Neodiprion lecontei: one gene and its partner. The protein of the gene in region 2 binds, or shares a complex with, the protein of the main gene of each other region. Links are inferred from orthologs where the notes say so. Each region holds a gene or a part of one and is shown on either strand. Other genes may lie near its edges.

What was found.
Region 1: the proteins of protein transport protein Sec31A (region 2) and programmed cell death protein 6 are in contact, whole or in part, in a crystal structure (PDB 3WXA), measured with the Homo sapiens proteins. The link is inferred for Neodiprion lecontei from reciprocal best matches to the Homo sapiens genes SEC31A and PDCD6. Residues at the interface, in NP_001070675.1 of Homo sapiens: Asn837, Pro838, Pro839, Pro840, Pro841, Gly842, Phe843, Ile844, Met845; in NP_037364.1 of Homo sapiens: Val31, Val35, Leu48, Ala51, Leu52, Ser53, Asn54, Gly55, Thr56, Trp57, Phe85, Trp89, Ile92, Gln96, Phe99, Phe148.

The regions. Positions count from the first base shown.
Region 1 is NC_060265.1:9,452,452-9,459,089, reverse strand, and holds programmed cell death protein 6, read right to left. Parts: upstream 4,736-6,638; 5' UTR 4,348-4,735; coding exon 4,292-4,347; intron 3,880-4,291; coding exon 3,773-3,879; intron 3,049-3,772; coding exon 2,741-3,048; intron 2,467-2,740; coding exon 2,365-2,466; 3' UTR 742-2,364; downstream 1-741. Other genes in the region: uncharacterized protein LOC107217557, read right to left, coding at 26-192. UniProt on the Homo sapiens protein: Calcium sensor that plays a key role in processes such as endoplasmic reticulum (ER)-Golgi vesicular transport, endosomal biogenesis or membrane repair.
Region 2 is NC_060260.1:31,677,646-31,682,842, forward strand, and holds the start of protein transport protein Sec31A, read right to left. Parts: upstream 3,096-5,197; 5' UTR 2,879-3,095; intron 2,747-2,878; exon of another isoform or gene 2,724-2,746; intron 2,356-2,723; 5' UTR 2,348-2,355; coding exon 2,145-2,347; intron 2,010-2,144; coding exon 1,687-2,009; intron 1,486-1,686; coding exon 1,388-1,485; intron 1,318-1,387; coding exon 1,072-1,317; intron 994-1,071; coding exon 700-993; intron 516-699; coding exon 168-515; intron 64-167; coding exon 1-63. Other genes in the region: protein aveugle, read left to right, coding at 3,613-3,651, 3,749-3,862, 4,015-4,191. UniProt on the Homo sapiens protein: Component of the coat protein complex II (COPII) which promotes the formation of transport vesicles from the endoplasmic reticulum (ER).

The DNA of each region.
Region 1 (6,638 bases), on a different chromosome or scaffold from region 2:
AAAAAATAAATAAATAAAGAAGAACCTAAATTGCGCACTGTCGAGTTCACCCCACCAGGAGGCAAGTATAGTTACGTCTCCCGGACTTCGTCTTGACCAGACAATTTCGTCGATGGTGAGGTTCAAGTAGCCGTGAAGTTTCCCCTCGACCAGTGGCGGAAGAGATCGAGAAACATTTACTCCTGAATCCATTTAACGGATTTAGAGTAAATCATAACGTTTCATTAGCCGAAGTTGTCAAATCGGGTTTATTCAAACGTAATCTTTTGACAACCGAACAACACGGTTCCCAACACGGTTCCGTCGTTTACACAAGTTCATGACGGCCGCCTAAATCTTGATCTGCGCATGCGCCACGCATGACGCAATTACCTAACACTGCCTAACACAGCTGCCTACACATTCAATCACATACAATGATCACCGTGTGATTTGCTTGTGATCACCAAACGTCGGAATCATAGGCATATGAGCCCGCGACTTGCGAGTAGTAATAAAAAATGAGTGGGACTCTTTCTTTTTTCATCTCGGTGGATTTTTCAATATTTAGACATATTTTAATATCATCTTTAAGACAAATTTTTTCCAAAATTTTTGCAATATTTCATGCAGGACACGGTGGGGTGCTTCAAAAGTGCTACTAATTTACCATGTCAAAACGATCAGAAGTAGGTACCTACATAATTAATCAATATTTCATAAAACAAAAAAATCAAGAGATAAAGGAAGGTATTGAGAATATCACGTATAAGGAGAAGATTTATTTTCTTCATAAAGCTATTTTACATATTTTCAAATAGCTATAAAAATAATTGGAAAATAGATGAACGTATAAGAAATAGGGAACAACTACAAATGGAGTAGAAAGATTATAAAAGCATTTTTTGAAGTGATTTTTTTTGTTTACTCAGTTAGTACTCTTTTTATACATAGGCATAATTGACATTGACACATTTTATTGTTAGATCTTGGTAATCGGTCAATGATATAACATAGTGTTATACGCAGAAGGCTTTCACTAATAAATGGTGAAACTACATGTCATTCTTAAATAATAATGCTGATATACATTTGGGCGCTCTGCGTGAGCTACATAAAAAGTTAGAACTCGAACCATAGATATCTCTGAAAACGAAATATAACTTTAGGCAAGAATATTTCGATACATTTTTTTAAAAAATCTAACAATTTAACAACTCCTGTACATTTATTTGTACATTTATATTTGTAGCTCAAGCATATTTAGAAAATCCACATGAGAATTCATTAATTCTTATCAGAGAATGTATGCATAGTGAAAGTGAATACAAGCTCGATAGTATCACTTTGGCACCATTTGTATCATCGTCAACCGGTATTTGTAAAAAAAGTGGCATATACAAAGTTAAATGTATATAATATAAAATTTTGCTACATCTTTCATGTAGTTTTTATTTGCAAATATCAAAGGCTGTAATTCAAAGTTTATAACGTTTCCAGGTAGTTAGAATTGTTTGGCAGAGATTTTATTGTATCTGACACATTTGTAAAAAATCTTACACACATTCCACTTCGAATTCCGAATCGTACTCAAAAAAATATCCATTTGTGTCCGATGATTCGTGATATAAATTTTTTAAATCATATTATGACTGGCTCAAGTTGAAAATAACACCATTCCGATCATTTTGTCGATTAAAATCCACAAAAAATTGAATACAAATTTGTTTTATCGTTTTTCATTACATCTAACCATATTTGCTTACTTGATACATTCTTGGTGTAAATGCTTATTAAAACGTGTGCCAAAGTTAACGACATATTTTTAAAGCAGTCCGCAACATGCTTACCTAATTTAATAGGCTAGAGGAACAAGAGATATCACGGTAATATTTTCGTCACTTAGGTTTTGCTTACGAAAGATAACATATTTGATAAATTGGCATTTGCATAATAATATTGATTAGTTATAATTAGTAAAGATATAGTGGTGTATGTATTATCACCTATATACATATATGTATACCAATAGTTATTAGCCACGACCAATAATATAATTAATAAAATTTTGCATATAAAAATAATGTAGCATTACTGCATGGAGAAACAGCAGTGAATGTAATTAATGCAAGAACGTAATCTATGAAAGCTTCTGGAATACATGTTTATACATTAGATAAGTGTAATAGTGCGAAAAAAACGTAATTGGGACTTGTTTAATCACAAATATAAGATCAGTTGCACTAGATGTAAATACATCAATAACGATATTGATAATAGTTTCACATTCTTCTGAATATAACAATACTAAAAATAATAATATTATAGTAATTATGAGAATGTGCCACAAAATACTTAGAACATATACTCTGTATACATTCTTCTTCAAACTTTAAGATTAAATACCATCCCAAGGAATTGCTCGTAGTGAATTGTTATCACTCCATCTTGATCGGTGTCAAACTGTCTAAAGGCCGATGTCAATGTCTGTAAGTGAAAACGGTAATAATTAAATATACACTTGCAATAATAAAATGATTGTAATTTGATTTTATTATTTTTATTAATGCAAAAGAGTATTTTATTGGCTACTGTTGCAAAAGTTTATTGGTACCAAAATTCAGTGATATTATTGAGCAAAGATTAAGCAGTTACATGATCGAGTGTCAATAAGTCCTTATGTACAATGACTCATTACTGACGCAGAGATTTTATCTTTCAAACTATATATGAATCAAAATGTAATTCAGAGTATGCTTACATATAGAACGATGCAACATTGGATAAAATCGTCAAAATATATAGTCCCCCTGCCGCCACGATCATACTTCCGTATAAGCGTATTGATTATATGGTCTGACAAACGGTATCCAAAATTGGTAAGTGCAGTTTTGAGTTCATCACGATCAATATTTCCGCTATTGTCACGATCAAATGAACGAAAGCAACTCTGCCAATCAGTAACGTATTTCCACAAAGCTCCAAATTCTTCAAAGCTGACCGTTCCAGTTTGGTTTTTGTCAAACATACCTGGAGAAGCAGGATCGATTTTGTCAATATCAAACATACCTGCATGGAGAGAATCATCATGACTGACTTATTACATACATATTAAATGAGAAAAAATACCACTGTCATGCTGCAAACAAATATTTTCTAAAAAATTTACTCATTCTCCACGCTGTCAATGACGAACAATGATTTCTGACTACCAAGCAAATCTGACATTCTTTTCACATGCTTGAGTAACGACTTATTGTAACAGTGGTTGGTACCTGGGCAACAACTTTTCATATCAAATTTGACTCTGTGTAGTGAGATTTCTATGCTTCTCAGAAACATGCTCAAAACCATAACATTCATGTTGCATAATATTTGGAGACAGTATTATTTCTCAATTCTTAGTAATGTATGTCAATTAAAGTATATAAATTCTAGTTTAACTACAGGTTTCCAGACTTGGCAATTACAAAGTAAATGAAAGCACATAATCTCACAAAGATTTTAATAATTTCTGCACATTGATTTGCTGGTATATCTCAAGTGCATAGCAAAAGTGCAAGACTGTTTTGAATATTCACAGAAATCCGTCTATTTCAGGGTTTAAATTCATTTCCAGTACCATTGATTCATGCATACAACTTCACGTCAGGTAATTGAAAAATAAAGTTAAGATTTATTATTATATATGAATATTATTAATTTTTGCATATTAATTTCAAGAATTTAATTTCAAGCAGTAAAACAGAACAGCATAACGATGAAACAAATGTAACATCTTTTTGAAACTTACCAATCATCAAACGAACTGTTTCAGGATTGAACGGAGTCCAGGTTCCATTAGAAAGAGCTACTTGAAGTTCTTCGGCTGTTATTGCTCCAGAATGGTCTTTATCAACTCTGTAGAAATAAATTACATATAAGTATCAGAGGAAACTGGAGGAAAATGTATAATAGTTTTAAAACGGCAAGCATTAGCGGCATTTACTGACCACGAAATATTATTACTTTCACACGTTCCACTTTCGCAAGAATAGAGGCGATTGGAAAGCACAAAAGTGAAGTAGTTGACGATAGAATCATTTAAACCCATTTTCAAAACGTTCCAATTTTCTAGCAGTAAGATTACTAAGCGTTCGAAAATACAAGGACGATACACTTAAACGTAATATGACGCCGCATATCAATCGGGAGGAAAGAAAGTTTGTCGTCGAGAACACGTCACGTGCAATCAATTACGAATATCAAGTCTCGTTAAACTCCCAATAAAAATAGTTTGTAGGTATTCCTTGTAAATGGATTACAAACTCACCTTTGGAAGACATCCCAAAGAAATTCACGACTCGGCATCGGCGAAACGAACGTCATTTTGTTTACTTTTGATTTACTCAGGCGAAGTCGGGCAAAATAAAACGGTTTCCTATGCACGATTTAGGCTGAAATTACAAGGCCGACAATACAGCCAAGCCCACAGAACTGCGTAATTAGAAACGTCCTGTTAATCGGAAATGCTCTTCACCACTCTTTACTAACCTATGTCCTACGCACAATCGGCGATCGCAGAACAAGTGGAACTCACGAAATGACTCGAAATACACGTCACACTTCAGAAGCGCGTTTCGGTTACTCACGATTCCCGGAAACACTCCGGAGCAGCCAATGACAAGTAAGCACTCACACATGCGCATACCCTTCTAATACATTAGCATCTCTGTGGACGGACCACGGTCGTACAGACTATGGGCGTCTACGCAAGGAGGATACCTAGCCTTTCGAGGATACGGTTGACCGTTGACTGAGGATATATAAAGACTGATAACCCCGGGTTATTTTGCCTGACAGTTTGCCGGGTCTGGCTAGGTTTGGGGGTATTAGCAATTTCACGTATTATCAACCAAGCAACTAACCACGTCGGTAAAAGAAGTTCTTCATAACTAACAACCAGAGATGAGTAGTCTCTGCTAACAATTATCGCGTGCAAAACATTGGTGACATACCGTTGCACAGTGAAATTGAAAAGCAGAGAAAATCCCATTCAAGAAATATCCGTAAGTGGTCGGAGAATTCATACTTCGCCTGACGTTGCATGTTACGCTAATGCTTTAAACATTTGATCGCGTTGTGCGTAGCTTACGCGGTGTTTTCGCCCGGCCGCTGAGACGATAGATATAATAGTACGTTACGTGACAAGTGCAGGAAGTAGGTGATACCTGCCCCTACGAGTTATGTATACAATTTTTTGACACAAGTTGTGGTAAGTTCGCGATAAGATCTGATAAAAGTGGTTTTGGTACACAAAGGAAAGCTAATATGACCTTTTGTAATCGATGTTATTAATCCGAGTATCGCCTTCGCTCCTTAGCGCCGCGTTTGTTTACATCGATTATAATCTGGTCAATACACAGTACGCAGGAGTATGTTATTATAATTCTAGAGATCGCTGTAAAGGTAAAATTCACTTACCGCACGTTCCGCAGGCACGGTAAAACGAACTTACCGCACACCGTGTTAAAAAATAGAGCGTCAGCAACGGTGTAAGCGTCCCATGAACAGATACGAATCGGTTCCTTAAAGGACAGCAGATAATAATTCTCTCGCCCTCTTTGTCGCTCTACTCATCGAGTAGTGGCTACAAGAGGGGAAAAACAGCTAGGCAGGCGCGTGCAGCTACCCCCACTCCATGTGAAGAGCGACAGAGAGGGCGGGGGAATTATTATCTTCCGTCCTTCAGAGAACTGATTTTAGTTTCTTCTGAGCGCCGTGCGGCATCAGTCGTTTCCGACCAATCGGACCGAAATCGCGTGATCTCAGTATCGGTTCAACATTCAGACCGCGTTTGTCTCTATGCGTGGAATATCAATTTTATTATTTTTTTCGCTGATTTTTGGTAAATGCGCAGTTGCATTATTAGCAAGTTTATTCAGTCGGTTCAAATAGACAGCTGCAGCACAACAAGTGAGTGTAGTATCGAGTGCTAGAGTTATTGCGGTGCGGATTTTGTGGATTATAAGAGATTAGTGAAGACCTGAATTGTGTAAAACGTGCGTCGCTTCACCAACGACCCTGAGATGCTACAAGAACTACTACGTGTAAAAGCGTGGAGCAGTCCAGAGTCGAGGTAACAATACTTATTTTATTTCTTGATTGATATTTTCCATTGATTCAAGGTGGTACATTTAAAGTCGGACTTTTGTTCTTGCATTACATGCAATGCATAAATATGAAACTGGACAACAATAATAATTAATTTGCAAACTAAAAGCCAATTTACAAAATTAATTCAAGTCTTCTATTTTGTTTTTCACAGATTTAAGCAGAGACTTCCGAGTAACTCTTTCATTTCTCGGCAACGTTGGTGAGTTTGCATGTGTTAGGTTACGGGTATTTCCCTGGGATTCCTATGTCACGTGGCGTGGCGGTAACAATTGTTACACGAATCTTGGATTTCTTAGCTGCATGGATAGGCTCATTCACGGTCGCAACGTGCTTGACTTTGTCGAGTAATTTTTTTTTCGCAATTTAATTTACCGTAGCCTGCTTAAAGTTAGAAATTTTGCGCGTTGCTAAAAGTGGAATGAGCATCGCGACAGGTAACCATCGCTTACTCGACAATCGCGAGATCGAATTGTATTTCGTAACTGATGTAATAATCTACGTTT
Region 2 (5,197 bases):
CTGCTCCTGTTGAGCAATCGCATCAAATGCTGCACTTCCGTCAGTTACATTGCCATTAGAAACCTATTACAACGAGTAATTGTAACTTTCATCTGTTTATGAAAATATTTTATTCATTCAGCACTATGAACATTTTTCAGTTTGTGTCAAGATGGAAAAATACCTACATTATTTAATTTATTTAGTTCAGTGCTTGTTTCAGTTTGTTCTTCAGGTACAAACTTGCTGAGCTTTGTGTTAATCGATTGCGAATCATATCCTAATAATTCTAATATATCTCCAGTGATATTATCTCCAAAATGTGCACCCAAACAACTCCATACTTTACGATTATGATCACTAGTTGCAGTATCAGCTTTTCCTTTGCAGAAATCGCCAAACTGTCCGTTTTGGAGTGCAGCTTCTAAGTGATTTGATCGGTGAATTAATTCTGGATCAGTTATTACTTGTGATATAATGATTCGACCATTCGAATTAGGTGGGTCATTTTCGAATAATGTCAGTTTTCCACCAAACTGAAATTAAACAAATGTCTGTGTAATTGTCAAATTAAACATGGATATTAAAATTTAACACCCTACTGACTACATTTCATATCATCAAAAAGAGTTAAAATGTAAATTGTAAATCGGTAAAACTGAGTATAAGTTAGTTCAACGTACAGATTACACAATTATGTAAAGTACACAGATTACTCACACCAAACGAAGCTCCAACAGGCCTTTTTAGCCATTTAGGAGCTTTTTTCAGATCTACTGTTGATTCATTTTGCAGCAATGGCGGTGCTTGAGCAAAGGCATCCATTCCAGGAAACGAATCAGCAATCTTGTTCGAAGTTTCACTTGAAACTTGTTGCTGACCACCCAAGAGTGAGTAAACAACTGCATGGCCATCAAAACTACTGCCAGCTACTAATCCAGGATTGCGTGGACACCAAGAGACATCAAAGTTCCACTGATTTGTTTGTGCCAACTCACAAAGTACTTCTCCATTCTATGATTGAATGAACACTCATGACTAAATTCAATCAAAGTGTCAAAATATGGCATGCAAAGTTGTAGATAAACTTACAGTCGCCGTTGAGTTTGGGTTCCAACAAAGTATTCTATTGTCTTTGGCACAACTGACCAGAAGATCAGGGTCGTGTAGATTCCAAGCAATTGAAAGAACGCCTCGCTGATGAGCCGCTAAAGTTTTTAGGGGTGATGTGGCAAATCTGAGATCCCAAAGCTGAATTATCGGGCTCTGATCATCCTCTGATGCAAGGCATAACTGTGTTGCAACATCTGGATGCCACTGTACCACTTTCCACCGAACCTGAAGTTAAGATGAGTAATTGGTTGATAGTGTATGACAATTTGATTAACTTGAAAAAAACTAAACCTACCCTTGAGTTTGCATCATTCAGCTTGATTATTGGCTCATTTTTCCGTAGGTCCCAAATCACACATCTTTGAGAGAAAGTGGAAGCGAGAATGTGTTGCACTGAAATAGTAACACTCGATCTTATAATTATCATACTGTTTTCTACAAAAAATTTTGAAGTTAAATCAACAGTTTCAAGTCTGCAAATTACCAGTTTTGGAATTTGAATTGGCTGAGTCGAGTTTGGAAAGGGATTCGATTAATTATAAGTAAGTGAAAATTTACACCTGAGTTTATGATAATATAATTTATACCCTATACCTTGCTTGTTCCATGCAATATACTGGACATCTTCCAGAGGTTGACTTCGAGTTCCCGGAGTCATTGGAGTGTTGGTATTAACGAGATCCCATATGTAAATTTCACTTTCTGTGGCTCCTGTGGCCAATAAATTTGATTGGAAAGGATTAAAATCCATGGCTCGCACAGGACCAGTATGCTTGTCAGGGCTACTGAGGATGCAATCACTTTCATTGGCTAACATCTTAGCCGCTGAATAAATTTTTATAGTTCCATAATCACAACCGCCTACTATTATACCAGCAGGATTGTTGCCGAAAGATCCCCATATGATCTTGTGATACCTTGAAAACAAGAAACACTTTTAAATATCAGTAAGTATCTAAAAATTGAAACATAAGGGAAGATAAGGATAGCATAAATTTATATGGATTTTCAACAATAAGAATATGAAAGGAAGAAAATGATTCAAGGGTAACCTGTGATCACTAGATATCGAAGCTTTAAGATCCATGTCATAGCCGGGTTCTTGTAGATTAAGAGCATATAAATCCAAGCTGGCTGATGTGCTGAAGCTAGCATCTAACTGTTGAGCAGCGGTTCCTGCCGCTAGCAATATCGGATGTTGAGCAGGTGGAGACCACGCCACATTTACAGTGCGTAACAGTTCCTTCACTTTCATCTTGTATACTGATCACCGTAACGAATAAAAATATTAATTGTTTTAAATTAATGACTTTTAAAAAGTTACATAAGCAAATATATGTGTTACACTTCTGGAGATATAAGTACACAAATAATTATCAATAATACAACCAAACGGGTCATGATAGTCTGACTTGTACAACAGCAGACAGTGGTATCAAGTTTTTAATTACTCGGAGTACGAGTAATGAATTCTTAACAATAATTCAAAAATGAAAGATGCAATATTGCTACGCAAGAGATCTGATCAGCTACAGCATTGATGATAGAGCCGTACAGCAATGAATACTGGATGTATCGTTGCAAGATGAGATCACAAACCGTAAATATTTTCCTAATATAAAGTAATACACCTTATGAAAGGTCCAGTTGTCTGGTGGAGGACAGGATTTGATAGTCGACTGAAATGTCATACGGATTAATAAGAACTACCTGACATATGCAGTTAAGAACACAATCTGGGCATAAAATTGAAACGAATAATGATGTAAACAATCCTGTGGCTAACCTTGCTTTCGTTCCGCTCAGTATGAATAATCCTTATAAATATAATTTCGGTAACGTCAGGTAAATTTGATTCACCACCGTCAACACTTCCAACGTGGCGACTGCCGGACTGCCTGTAGTTCGTAGCGCGGCGTAGCAAAATTCAGCGGAAGGCTCCGGCTCGACAACCAGCCACGAAGTGTAGCCGGCTACGACTGGTCGCTACCGTTCGGTGGTAACTTGTGATAGCGCGGCTTCAAATTTAGTTCCTAAAAGCGACACCAGGTGGATCAGTCATATGTTTGTAAACTTTTGTAAACTTGCTCTGACTGTAAATGTCAGGCAGGCACTGAACTATGATACAATCTTACAATTAGAGCGTATAACAGTACAATCTACTGATTCGTATGAATATATTTTTTCAAAATATATCTGTACATTCGTGTGTGTATGATTTGAAGATGATGAAGTCTGATCTGCACAGCAATGAGTAATTAGCACGGGAAACAAACGAGCTCAATTTGATGGTGCAATTTTACTGAGTACACTGTGGTCAGTACAGTTTCCTCTGCAATTATCATGTATAATTCTATTTTTAGATTACGGCAAATATTGAGTCTAAATTGCCGTATTCTACATTTTCTGAAATTAAACGATTATTTTACAATTAACACCGTTATTAAAATAATTTCTGCTATCCCCCAGGTGATCTCGTTGCTGTAAACAATTATTGTTTCTAACCCTAAAATTTCAATAATGGTTGAGGAGAGCGTGAATTCTTATAACAAACCGAAAGTAAGAGTTACGTTGCATCCTTGGAATTACAAGTTATAATATTTTATTAAGTGTGAGAATGTTTTCACATGCCTTAAGTATTCTCTCTGTGATTCAGAATAAAACTGCGCGGCCCCGTCCAGTTTACTTGTGGAATGTCTTAGATGTACAGAAGTGGTTGCGGAGACACTGTAGCGATTACTATCAATTGTATCATGAAAAGTTTTTGTATGTAAGTGAGAGAATATGATAGCACGTAACGTCCGACTTATTGTATTATGTATGTAATTTTGACTTTAGGGAATAATTCATTGATTTCAAGCATATTATATTTGAATATAACAGATGCGGTCCTAATTCCTGTGTTGTTTTCTCTTTATACAGCATGATATAACTGGCAGAGCGCTTCTGAGGGTCAATGAGAACATTTTACTGCGATTGGGAATCGTGAATGAGGAACACAGATCGGATATATGGAGAGAAATTATGAAATTGCGATTAAAAACGGACATATTGGAGATTAGAGATATTGAACGTAGAAATAATACTAATTATGATTGATATTGAGATTGTGTCGACAATTACTATCATTAGAATTAATGTTTTTATCAGTCACTTTGTACCTTTCATTGAATATTCCCTCTTTCACTGATATTGTACATCTAGGGAATGAGCAAAGCGATCAATATTTCGATGGATGAAAAATCGTTTCACACTTTGAATACCGATTTCACCCATTTTCATGTACAAACTAACATATTAATTAGTAAAACATATTTTTGTACCTAGTTGTTTGATAAAAAGTTATTTTATTACTACCATTGATGAGTATTTTAACTAAAAATATTACCAGGGGATCGAAATGTAATTGAAACCACAAAAACTTACTGTTTTAGACATGTTCTTTAGAAAATTCTAAATGAAAACTGCGGCGCAATGAGCCTTAGTAAATAGGAAGTTACATATGCTTTATAAATGTACCAAGCATTATTCATATAATATGAAAGCTGTATTGATCATAGGCTGATTTTCAGATACTTGTTTGCCGATATTTTTAATAAATCAAAAATTGATGGTCAATGAGACTAAAAGTTTGTTATCCCTGTCCAGCAACGTAACACTAAGTGTAATTAAATGATCAGTAAATTATTTAGGCCAGAACAAAATATAGGCCAAGACAGCAGCACAAGTTAAAACGAAGTCTTCGGAGTCGCTTCATTAGTTGAAAAGGCTTGATCCATTCTTGCTCGAACCATTCTGCTTGACTATAAATAGTCAGCAAGGTATTGCACAGTAACAGACCGTAAGAATCTATGTAGTCCACGTCTCTACTAGCGCGGCTCGCACGCGTTAATACTCGCGAGTGAAAACGGAATTATTGTGTTTTATTTGTTCCAACAATAGAACTTCGCACAGGTTAAAGTTGGGCAAGTTGGTTCCACGCTACCAGCGATAAGTACGTTCCAGTTTTAATTTTAAAAACAGCTGCGATTCTTCCAAGCTTCAATAGGATTGTCGACCTACCAATCTATTGTTATACAATACCTATAGGTATGTATTTGCGGCG